Sus scrofa: one gene and its partners. The protein of the gene in region 1 purifies or fractionates together with the protein of each later gene. This does not show direct contact. Links are inferred from orthologs where the notes say so. Each region holds a gene or a part of one and is shown in the gene's direction. Other genes may lie near its edges.

The links.
Region 2: the proteins of KLC2 (region 1) and KIF5A purify together in Homo sapiens (affinity purification with western blotting; 3 studies listed by BioGRID and IntAct, with this or other methods). This does not show direct contact. The link is inferred for Sus scrofa from reciprocal best matches to the Homo sapiens genes KLC2 and KIF5A.
Region 3: the proteins of KLC2 (region 1) and KIF5C purify together in Homo sapiens (affinity purification with western blotting; 3 studies listed by BioGRID and IntAct, with this or other methods). This does not show direct contact. The link is inferred for Sus scrofa from reciprocal best matches to the Homo sapiens genes KLC2 and KIF5C.

The regions. Positions count from the first base shown.
Region 1 is NC_010444.4:6,116,911-6,120,553, reverse strand, and holds the end of KLC2 (kinesin light chain 2), read left to right. Parts: intron 1-582; coding exon 583-632; intron 633-734; coding exon 735-802; intron 803-1,230; coding exon 1,231-1,339; intron 1,340-1,430; coding exon 1,431-1,589; intron 1,590-1,663; coding exon 1,664-1,788; intron 1,789-1,980; coding exon 1,981-2,038; intron 2,039-2,370; coding exon 2,371-2,454; 3' UTR 2,455-3,318; downstream 3,319-3,643. UniProt on the Homo sapiens protein: Kinesin is a microtubule-associated force-producing protein that plays a role in organelle transport. The light chain functions in coupling of cargo to the heavy chain or in the modulation of its ATPase activity.
Region 2 is NC_010447.5:22,815,644-22,819,386, forward strand, and holds the start of KIF5A (kinesin heavy chain), read left to right. Parts: upstream 1-1,217; 5' UTR 1,218-1,493; coding exon 1,494-1,622; intron 1,623-3,743. UniProt on the Homo sapiens protein: Microtubule-dependent motor required for slow axonal transport of neurofilament proteins (NFH, NFM and NFL). Can induce formation of neurite-like membrane protrusions in non-neuronal cells in a ZFYVE27-dependent manner.
Region 3 is NC_010457.5:3,359,286-3,363,028, reverse strand, and holds the start of KIF5C (kinesin heavy chain), read left to right. Parts: upstream 1-1,558; 5' UTR 1,559-2,003; coding exon 2,004-2,129; intron 2,130-3,743. UniProt on the Homo sapiens protein: Microtubule-associated force-producing protein that may play a role in organelle transport. Has ATPase activity. Involved in synaptic transmission. Mediates dendritic trafficking of mRNAs.

The DNA.
Region 1 (3,643 bases):
AGCACGGCTGTCCTGGCACAGGCCCCCTCAGCCGTCAGCATCCAGGGCAAACACTGCAGCCGGGCAGGCCTCGCGCCTGGGGTCTGGCTGGTCCAGAGGCACGTGTGGGCACACGGGAGCACACACACCCAACTCCCACAGCCCCCTAGGAAGCTGTACCCGTGCGAGACCCACCCTTCGCCTCCCTGTGCCCCTGGCCCAGAGCCTGGCTTCCCCTTTCTCCACTGGGCACCTCACGCTCACCGTGAGGGCCCAGCCCAAATGTCTCCCACTCCAGGAATCCACCTTCTAGCCCCTGATGGTCAGTCACTTCCTACTCCAGGACCCCTCAGCCCGGCCCATCGTTCAGGCACTGTCCCCGGCTGTCGCAGGCACTGTCCTGGGCTGTCGCAGGCCCCTGAGGCACAGGCCTGCGGGTTCCGGAGGAGGCTCAGTAACGGTTCGGGCCTGTTTCTTGTCCACTCATTCATTCAACGAAGCCAAACCCTGGTCCTTCTTGGGGACCCCTGACCTCCTCCAGACCCTAGTCCTGTGTCCAGCCCAACCAGGGAGACTGGTGACAGCCCCCCTTTCTCCCCTCAGGGGACAACAAGCCCATCTGGATGCACGCAGAGGAGCGGGAGGAGAGCAAGGTAGCTGTGCGGGGCAGGGCTGGGGCGGGTGTCCGTGGTGGGGGGGAGGCTGGGGGGTGTCGGGGGGGCCCTTCTCTCACCTCCGGCTTACCTTTCCCCCAGGATAAGCGCCGGGACAGCACACCCTATGGGGAATATGGTAGCTGGTACAAGGCCTGCAAAGTAGACAGGTGAGGACCTGGGCAAGAGCAGAGGGCGAGCAGAGGGCAGGAAGCGGCATCCTGGGTGGGGTCTGAGGCCAGGCTCCACCCTCCACCCCTACTCAGCCCCAGAACACACACCTCCTCTGTCAGCTCGCTTTTCAAGGCCCAGCTCACAGGCCACCTGGCCTAAGACGGCTGTGCTGGGACAGTCTGATTCCCTTACTCGTGGGTCTTGCAGCTTTTAGGTCTGGTGGAAGCATCCCACTTAGGGCCCTGAGGCGATTCCCCAAGACAGGGGGCTCCAGGCGGCCCTAGCGCAGGGCCCAACACACAGGAGGGGCCAGGTCTGGGGTGGCGGGATGGTCCTGCGGGGCCCAGTGTGGGCTGGGTGTTAGGATGGACCCTGGTTCCCGGGAAGCGTGGAGTCTGAGATGGTCCTGCTCTCCTGTCCACAGCCCCACGGTCAACACCACCCTGCGCAGCTTGGGGGCGCTGTACCGGCGCCAGGGCAAGCTAGAAGCCGCACACACACTGGAGGACTGTGCCAGCCGCAGCCGCAAGCAGGTGGGGCGACAGGCACGAGGGCTGTGGGCAGGGACCTTGGTGGCCCTATAGGCGTTCCAATCAGTGCCTGACACACCCTGTCCTCCCTCAGGGCCTGGACCCCGCAAGCCAGACTAAAGTGGTGGAACTGCTGAAAGACGGCGGTGGTGGGCGGGGAGACCGCCGTGGCAGCCGAGACGTGGCCGGGGGAGCTGGGGCCCGGTCTGAGGCTGACCTTGAGGAGTCCGGGCCGGCAGCCGAGTGGAGCGGGGTGAGTGTAGGGGCCGGACTGGGCCGAGAGGCTGCGTAGCTGGCGTGGCGCAGACGAACCCGTCCACCCCACAGGACGGCAGTGGCTCCTTGCGGCGCAGCGGCTCCTTCGGGAAGCTCCGAGATGCCCTGAGGCGCAGCAGCGAGATGCTGGTGAAGAAGCTCCAGGGTGGTGGCCCCCAGGAGCCCCCAAACCCCAGGTGAGCCCCCCCACCCATGCGGTGAGCCTCTCCAGAACCCACTCAATAGCCCCAGCTGGCTCCGGACCCAGGGTGAACTCTTCTCTCGCAAGTGCCACCACCCAGCAGATCTGCTCCCTCCCCAGCCCCAAATGACCCCTCCCCGTCCTCCCCCAGCCCCCCCCCCCGCGCCTGACCATCCTTTCCCCTCAGGATGAAGCGGGCCAGTTCCCTCAACTTCCTCAACAAGAGTGTGGAGGAGCCAGTCCAGGTATGGGGGGGTGGCGGCTGCACTGGGCAGCTGAGGCCCAGGCCCCAGGGCCCAAGGCCTGCATATCCTGGGTACCTGCCCAACTTCTCCTGGAGCGCGCCTGCTCATTCAGCAGCACCTCCTGCCCCCATCCTGAGCCTGGCTTTGGGCTGGGGAGACCAGGGAGGGAAACCCAGCTCCTGCCTGCCAGCACCCAGTGCCAACACAGTAACTGTGGAGGTGGGTGGAAGTGTCAGAGCCCCAGGGACGCAGGCTAGTCAGGCCCTTGGGGCCAGGGAAGCACCACCCTGGAGCAGCCTGAGCCTGAGCCCCCCCTGCCCCTCTGCCCACAGCCCGGAGGCACAGGCCTCTCCGATAGCCGCACCCTCAGCTCCAGCTCCATGGACCTTTCCCGACGAAGCTCCCTCGTGGGCTAATCCTGAAGGGGCAGCCGGCCGCCAGAGCCTCCACCCAGCACTGTCCCCACCCCAGCCCTGCGCATGGGCCTGCTGCTTGCCCCTCCTGTCTCTCCCAAGGACCCCTGTCTTTTCTGTTCAATCTCAGGGTAATCTCCCCCCTTGTCATCTCAGCCGGAGCCCTGGAGGCTGGGCCCGCCCCTCCAACTCTTCCCCTTATTTATTCCTTCCAGCAGGGCCCTTCCCCCCGAGGTTCAGGGTCCGCGGGAGGGGCTGGCCGGGGTCTCCCCTGCCCACCCGCAGCCAAGAACACTAAGCACCTGGCCTCCCTTCAGCGTCCCTGTCCTCCCCCGGCCGTTGCTTCTGTATATAGAGAAATAAGTTATTGGCCGCACCACTCCCCTCAGTCCTCGGTACTACCTGGCCTCCCCTCCCCACCCTTCTCTAGTGGTACCGCCCAGGCCTTAATCATCCCCATTCCGCGCGGTGGTATCTCCCAGGCTCCACATCTCAGGGGCGGTGCCTCCGCAAAAGGGTTCCCTGGGCCGTCTCGCGTTCCTCCCTGCCTCCGAAGGGCGCGTCCCGCCCCGCCAACGCCCCTAACCCCAGGGCCGGGAGCCCGCCCCTTGCCCGTCCTCTCAGCGCCGGGCTCTGCCCTGCAGCCCGGCCCTATGCACTGCCCCGTCCCCCGCGCCCGGCCCGCCCAGGCCCGGCCCCGGGCCCCGCCCGCAGAGCCATCCTGCCACGCCTCCTCCCACGCCTGCAGCTTCTTGCGAGGGGCAATGATAGCCCCCTGTGGCAGGAGGGGCTGCCCAGGTTGGGAGGTGAGGCGGTCGCTCTCTATTTTCAAATGTTGCTGTAGAAATAAAGACGGTTTGACTCTGAGCCGGGCTTGTTTTGGAGCGGAGGCCGAGGGGTCCTAGCGTATCTACGTCTCTAGGCTGGGGTTCAGGAGAGGCTGCGAGGGAGTGAGTGTGAGAGCGTGTGTGTCTCGCTGACGTCTCTAGGTTGGGGGTTCAAACGGAGAGGCTGCGAGGAAGGGAGGGGTGTGGGTGTGTTTCGCTCACGTCTGGCTCTGTCCTGAGACCGCGGGCCTTGACTGAGCTTTAGTTTTTATTAAGCTCTTGAACCTTGAGCGAGTTACCGGGACTCGATTTTTTTCATCTATAAAATGGGCGGCACCTTCTTCCTGGGGTTGCTGCTGGGAGTT
Region 2 (3,743 bases), on another chromosome or scaffold:
CACCCTCGGTTGCATTCTGAGTGATTAGGTCTTATCTGGCCAGGCCATCATTCTCTCATCCTTTCCTCATGGTGTCTAAGTGACCTTAAAAACTTACCAGACAATTGCTAGGCAGAACCTCCATCCCCTCCTCCCTTCTCCCATCACCCTGCTCCTCCCCTTGGCCTAGAGCCTCAATTCCTGCAGTCTAACTCTGTTGGCCAGCAGAGGCCCTGTGACGTGGAGAAAAATCAATCCAGCCAGCTTCTAGGTGGTTCTGCCCAGGGTCTGCAGCACGAGTCTGATCCAAAGGGAGGAAGGACAAGAAAGGCTTGGCATTTTTTTTTTTTTTTTTTTTTTGGCCAGGGAAAGAGAAGAAACAGAGGGAAAAAAAAAAAAAAGCCTGAAAAGGGGCTTGGGGTGTTGGGACTCTGTCCAACAGTTCTGGGACAGGAAACACACTCACGTAGGTGCCTAAACCTGCCTGAAGCCCAAATGCAGATGTCTGCCCTAGAAATCCTTTCTCAAAGCCCCTCTGGCCTTACCCACTCCTAAAGTCCTCCTCCATCACTGCTTTGTTCCTCACTTCTTGCAAAAGTTACTCTTGGCCCACCTCCTTCTCAGCCCCAACCTAGGAAGAAAAAATGAGAGTCTTATCTGCTTTTGAATTCTGATAACAGAATGGGAGTTTGTCTTCCTTCCAATTGGGGTCCTGGTGTGTATGTTGGGGAGAGAGTAGAGTGCATCTTTGCACGCAGAAGGGGAAAGGGGAGAACTCCCCTGACACCCTGAAAAATGGGACTTGAACACGCACTTCCTTCCATAGGGGTACAGGCAGCTGCCCTTGAAGGTTCAGTGGGTTGGGAATCTTTGCGAGGGTTTTTGTGCTCCCAGTTTGGAGCGAGGACTGTGATGAGGGTGAAGGATGCCTTGGAATGAAGGAGATGGAAGCACAGTTGACTCTTCCTGGGACAGAAGACAGGCCCACCTCAGACTCCTTAGCCCTTCCAGGGGGTGGAGGCCGGGGTGAGGGACAGACGGGTCAGGCATGTGGGGGGTGGAAGGCAGAGAGTGACTTGGGTGGGGAAGGGGTGAGGACAGGGTAATCGAGCAAGCGTTAGGGGTGGGGCGAGGAGGCGCGATGACAGCGCAGGTGCCTCGCTTGGGTGGTGGGCGCCGCGGAGCAGCACCCCCCAGCGAAGGAAGCCCCGCCCCGCTCCTCCATCGCCGCCCCGCCCAGGCCCGCAGCGCAGCGCTGCAGCGCGAGGGACCGAGAGGCAGAGCGCCCAGAGAGGACCAGACCTCCAGGTCGCCCGCATCCCCCGTGCAGCAGGAGAGAGGAAGCGTGGCCCAGCCCTGCTCCTTAGCGTTAGCCTGGTCACCCGCCACAGCTCCCTGAGCCTCAGAGACCGAGCACCTGTCCTCCGCCTCGGCCTCAGCTGAGCCCCTCTCCGCCGGAGCACTCGCGACCCCTGCAGCCGAAGAAGTGCCCCAGCCTCACGCCGGCGACCACCATGGCGGAGACCAACAACGAATGTAGCATCAAGGTGCTCTGCCGATTTCGGCCCCTGAACCAGGCCGAGATTCTGCGGGGGGACAAGTTCATCCCCATTTTCCAAGGGGACGACAGCGTCGTTATTGGGGTGAGTGCCGCCCCCGGAGGGAATTTCGGAGAGGGGACGGGGAGGCTGAATCTTTTACTCCGCAGAGCCCTAGCTCCTGCCTGTCTCTGCGCCCCCTCTCCGCTGCTCATCCTCCATCCTTTTCGCCGCAGCCCCTCCTCTCCCTGCATCAGGATGGCTGGGTGTGGCCTGGCCAGGCCGGCGGCCGAGTCTCCGCAGAGTGGGAGGGGGCTGCCTTCCCACGATCAATGCACCCAACGCCCCTTTGCTGCTCTCTGCAGCGTCCCCACCCCTAGAGCCAGTCCCGTGTTTTTCTGATGTTTTCCCTCTTCCCTAGGGAAAGAGCATCTTCCCTTTGTTATTGGCTCAGATCTCTACCCTCCAACACCCAGGGAGGGAGGGGAAGACTAGTGGGTGGGCTAGGTGGGGGATGGGCAGTCCAAGGTCTCTGCGGAGGTGTAAATGAAAGTGGACTCCAGGACCCCGGCCTCCATCATCCCTTGAAGTAGTTACAGCCTGGACTTGGGGGGAGGGCAGGGATCTGAGAAAAGGTTTTCGGAGAAAGAAATACATTGATGCCACACCCAGCTTGATGGAGGAGCCTCTGAGTCCTAAGGAAATGTCTGCCTTTCCCTCCCAGGTACAGTAGGAGGAGGATTTCAGACGCGCCGATTCACCCTAACAAATAAAAATAACCAAACCTGTTATCCTAACAAGTAGTTGCTTATTCATCCTATCTCTTGATAATCCAATAAAAAGTGGCAAGCCACCTCCTCTACCTCATCATGACAACCCCTATCCACAGAAGAGACGTTATTAAGAAGGAGCAATAGTGTTTTCTGTGGGCTCATTATGCTGCATATATTGTTTAATCCTTAAAACAACGCTCTGAAGAAGGTATTAATATTTCCATTTTACAGATGAGGCAATTGAGGCCCAAAGAAGTCAACTGACTTTCTCAAGGTCACACTGCTAATTCATGGATATGAACCTAAATCTGTAATTCCAAAGCTTATGTCTCTCCTTCTGTATATCACATTGCCTCCACAGATTTCCATTCTGGACTTTTATCTGGGATGACTCCAAAGGAATTCCTAGGGAGTTCCTCACCTTCCCCTCCTCTCCTAAGTTGGTAGGGACTGTCAGGCTATGGGATGAAAGGGTCTGGGGTCAAGTCTAGTAGGGCTTGAGGGGTGCTGGGCCAGGAAACTGTAGCCAGTTTGAGAAGGGCCCATATAAGGGCCGTCCTCAAGGTCAGGGGCACATCTTATGTATTTTTGATCCACAGTGCTGGGCGCAGGGAATGCTTGTGAAAAGGATGAAGGAAAAAAGGGAAGGGAGTCTGGGCCTTCTGAACCAGTGAGAATGGGACTTCGAGTAAACAGGCTGTAGGAAGAGATTTGCTTACATGTCTTGTCCCCAGGGGCTCTAGTTTGTCACCAGGCTCTCTCACCCACACTGTGAACTCAAATGAGTGCTTTTGCCTTGTGCATGTGCTGTGTATGTGTGTTTTTTTTCACATAGAGAGGGCCCCTGTCTCTCTTTGTCTCAAGGGCCATAGACCTTGCAGTCTGGTCTGTCTAGCCAGGCTAAAAGAATGCCTGGATCAACCCCTGGGGCCTCTTCTCTGAAGAGTCTGGACAGCAGGCATTAGCTGTGAAAGTAAGAGCTTGAGGGCCCCCCATAAAGCTTGAGAAAATAGAAGCAAGGTGGTTATGGAGGAGCAAATCCACAAAAGGCTTCCACTTTTAAGTCTATCTTCCTTGACTTAAATCTGGGTAAATCTGAACCATCTCCTTTAGGCTCTCTGGGCCATCCCTCTCTGGGTGTTGTTGGGAGTTGTGTTGATCTGTCTAATTTGCTCAGTTAAATAGGAGAGACTTGGTGAAAGCAGGAGGGAAGAGAGATGAAGAGAGACCCAGGGCCCCTGCCAACTCAGATCCTATCTTACGCCACAGCTGGTCCTTCTTGATCCGTTTTGCCTGATATTTGCAGGGCTGTACCTTTGTCTCACTCTGTATCTTCCCTTACCCTAGTCCCTCCTGTCAATCTCTCACACCAAGGTAAGTGCTTATGGGGGCCATTTTGTCTCAGGCAGCATCCTGGGAGCTCGTCTGCCCAGCCTTTCTATTCATTTCTCAT
Region 3 (3,743 bases), on another chromosome or scaffold:
TGTCTTTTTTTTCGCCTTTTGTCTTTTCAGGCCTGCATCCACGGCATATGGAGGTTCCCAGGCTAGGGGTCTAATTGGAGCTGCAGCTGCTGGCTTACGCCACAGCCACTGCAACACCAGATCCAAGCCGTGTCTGCGACCTACACCACAGCTCACAGCAACACCGGATACTTCACCCACTGAGCGAGGCCAGGGATCGAACCCACAACCTCATGGTTCCTAGTCAGATTTGTTTCCACTGAGCCACGACGGGAACAAGATCAATCTGCCTTCTTTTGATAAGCTCTCTTTTTGCCTCAGTGTCTCCTATTGAATTTTTATCACTCTCCACCACAAGAGCCCTAAAATCCATACCTAATAATAATAGTCATTAATGGGTGACTCCAGGAGAGTAAATCCTTAAAGTATCAGAAGAAAGCAGGGCAAGAGTAAATTTAAATGGAGGAAGCCACCAATATTTTGATGTTTGTCAGAGTGTAAACATCAAGACAAGAAATGGCAAGAGATGAGGCTAATAAGTAGACAGAATTCTGATCATGGGGTCTGGATGTATTTTGCAAAGTACTTTGAACCTGGTCCTATATATATTATGTTCATTCTACAGGATTATAAGGAAGTATTGGGCAGTGGTTCTGTAAACTGCACTATAATTGGTAGTAATTAAGAGGTTCTTGGGAGTTCCCGTCGTGGCGCAGTGGTTAACGAATCCGACTAGGAACCATGAGGTTGCGGGTTCGGTCCCTGCCCTTGCTCAGTGGGTTAATGATCCGGCGTTGCCGTGAGCTGTGGTGTAGGTTGCAGACGCGGCTCGGATCCTGCGTTGCTGTGGCTCTGGCGTAGGCCGGTGGCTACAGCTCCGATTCAACCCCTAGCCTGGGAACCTCCATATGCCGCGGGAGCGGCCCAAGAAAGAGCAACAACAACAAGACAAAAAGACAAAAGACAAAAAAAAAAAAAAAAAAAAGAGGTTCTTAACCTGAGTTACAGGCAGCTGTCAGTTATCCCCAAACCCTGTGAAAAAGCATGAAAAATCTGTAAGTGTGTATAGGTTTGTCTTTTTTTTATAATGTAAAACGTTCATCAGATAGTAAATGAGCACCTGGTCCAAAATATGTATGAACTGTTATCTATGTGCAGGCATTTTCAGAAATTACTGGCTTCAAATATTCATGGAAATCTCATTTCCCCCCGATTTCTTCACAACCTTTAAAAACTGTTGAGCACAGAGAAAAAGCTCCATACTGTTTGTTTGGACACTGTCTTAAGAGGGCGTTCTCCTTTGGGATCATGAAAAGATGTAGAGATGATATAGACCTGGTAATTTATAGAGATTTAAACCAGGAATATTGGCTGTGACATCCACCCTGTTCTTGACTTGGGCTGCCAGTCAAGACCTGCAAGCTCTCGGAAGTGGCACCTGGGACACCACTGCTGCTTAAACGCCAAATCCGGAAATCTTAGTCCTTCCACCTGCCTGTGTAACGACTACAAGTCCCAGGATACCCCTCTCTCAGGAGCCGGGGCGAGGGTCTGGCGGATCTCCGCAGTGACGTCACCGCCCAGGGGCCGCCCGGGGAGGGCGGGGCGAAGGGGCGGGCCGGGGAGGCGACAGAGCGTGCTGGTGCTGATGCAGGATGGCTGAGCTCGCAGGAGCCCGGGAGGTCTGAGCCGGGAGAGGCTCGCTCCCAGCGCATCGCCTGGTCCGCCCGCCGCGTGGTCGCGGGCAGGTGGGCCTGGGTTTGCAGCGCAGGGCCAGGGCAGCGCCAGGAAAGGCAGATCTGCAGCTGGCCGGGCCGAAGGTTGAGAGGTTGCTCACCTACGAGGTCTCGGAGCGGCCACAGCTGCCCAGCCCGCCGCGTTCGCGATGACCTGCTGAGAAGCTTTGTCGGAGGCTGCAGGAGGCGGCCTTGTTGCGGGAGGTGCGGTTCTCGACCGCGTCCCTCGTTGTGCGGAACCCCGGCCCCCCCACCCATCCCCGCGCTCCCTCCCTGCCGCGGGCCGAGATGGCGGATCCAGCCGAATGCAGCATCAAAGTGATGTGCCGGTTCCGGCCACTTAACGAAGCAGAGATCCTTCGCGGGGACAAATTCATCCCCAAATTTAAAGGCGATGAGACCGTGGTGATCGGGGTAAGTGGTCGGGATGTCTGGCCTCCTCTGCTGCTTCACGCCGCAGCTCAGCGCCCCGACACCCCAGACCAGGCAGAGATGCTCAGGCCGCCCCTTCGGACATCCCTGCTGCCCTCTAGGGTGGACTTGACGAGAGACCTCCCCACCCAATCCCACCCTGTAGTTTCCTCCTCGCTGGGTGGAGGGTCAACTGGGGGCTGCAGGGCGGGCCCCAGGCAGCGGAGGTGGGGGTGGGGGGCGAGGAAGGGTTCCGCGCCGCCATTGTTATTGGGGTGGGGGCCCGGGTGGGCCTATTGTTTCCCGCCCTGGCCACGCCGCGTGGGTAGTGTATTCAGGTTACCCTCCAGCCCAGGTTCCCCTTCAAGTATGAGCTGTGTAAACCACAAATGATTCCAGGCATCGGTTCGATTTTTCGAACACTTTGCCTCTTCTCAAGATCTTAGTAAAAGAGGGAAAAAAGGTACTGGAAAAATCCTATCCTAGGCTTGGAGCTCGCACCCTGTGTAGACTCGGACCCCGCGGTGTTTCACCTTGCTCTGCACGCGGAAGGCCGGGGGTAGGGGAACACTGGTGGCTTTCGTGTCCCCGGGGGGCCTCGTGTGTCTCCTCCTGCTCCCTCTCAACCCAGGCTTCCCTTACTTGGACCTTGGGTCTGACTCTTCCCCAATGGGGCAGCCCCCAGCTGGGGTCCGAACACCCTTGGGTACACTTCGCGCTGTTTGGCGTGGGGTTGGGGGTCCTGAACGTAGCTAAATCGCCTCTGTTCCCAAAGAATAAGTTACTTTGTGTGGATAGGGCCCCCTCCCTCTCGATCTCCCTTCCCATATTTCCCTTCCCCCTCCTCCCCTCACCTCCCCAGACTTGGCTTCCTTTCTGCAGCCGGACTGCTGGTGGGGGGATGGAATACCATTGATTTTTAGTTCTTAAAGGAGTATGTCAAATGAAATAAGCCAGCCTCCCCTCTCCTCCCCCGCCCTTCCCCCTCCGCTGTCCCCAGTGTGTGTAGCTGATGTGCCCTCTTTGTATGCGAGTCGCGTGGGGAGGTACCGAGTTAATGGGAGCCTCCCGATCCCCGCTGACATGTTCCTGGCAGCCTGCTCTAGGCTGCTGATGCAGCCTTCCCGGCCTCAGCATTGATTAAGTGATGTCATCCCGATTACTGAGCATGCTCCGACTAACCCCCTCCCTTGCCTTTCCCCCAGTGGCTGGTGTATTTAGGTCAAATGATTGACAGGTGACAATTTACCTAGGGTCTCTGCTCGAGTAAGCCAGGCCCTTCTCAAGACCAGAGGCCAACTTTTGCTGGCCGTAGCAGCCCCAGTATCTCCGCCAAGGCTGTGCCGCAGTCCCTGTGAAGGGCCCTGGGGACTAGCAGGTGCCAGCAGAACCGGCAGGCAGGCGCTCTCCAGGAGAAGAGAACCAAAGCAAGGCTCGGGCCTTAGGGTTTCATTTTGTACCTTCCTTAGGAAGGCAGCGCCCCTTGGCGACCTCTTCTCTCCTCCCTGTTTTCAGAGTCATCAGGAAACCGGTGACCTCCAAATGCTCTGGATGGTCATTCACCCCGAGAACTGACCAGTGAGGTCAGGAAAGTGGGATTTTCTCTCTGCTTAGTGT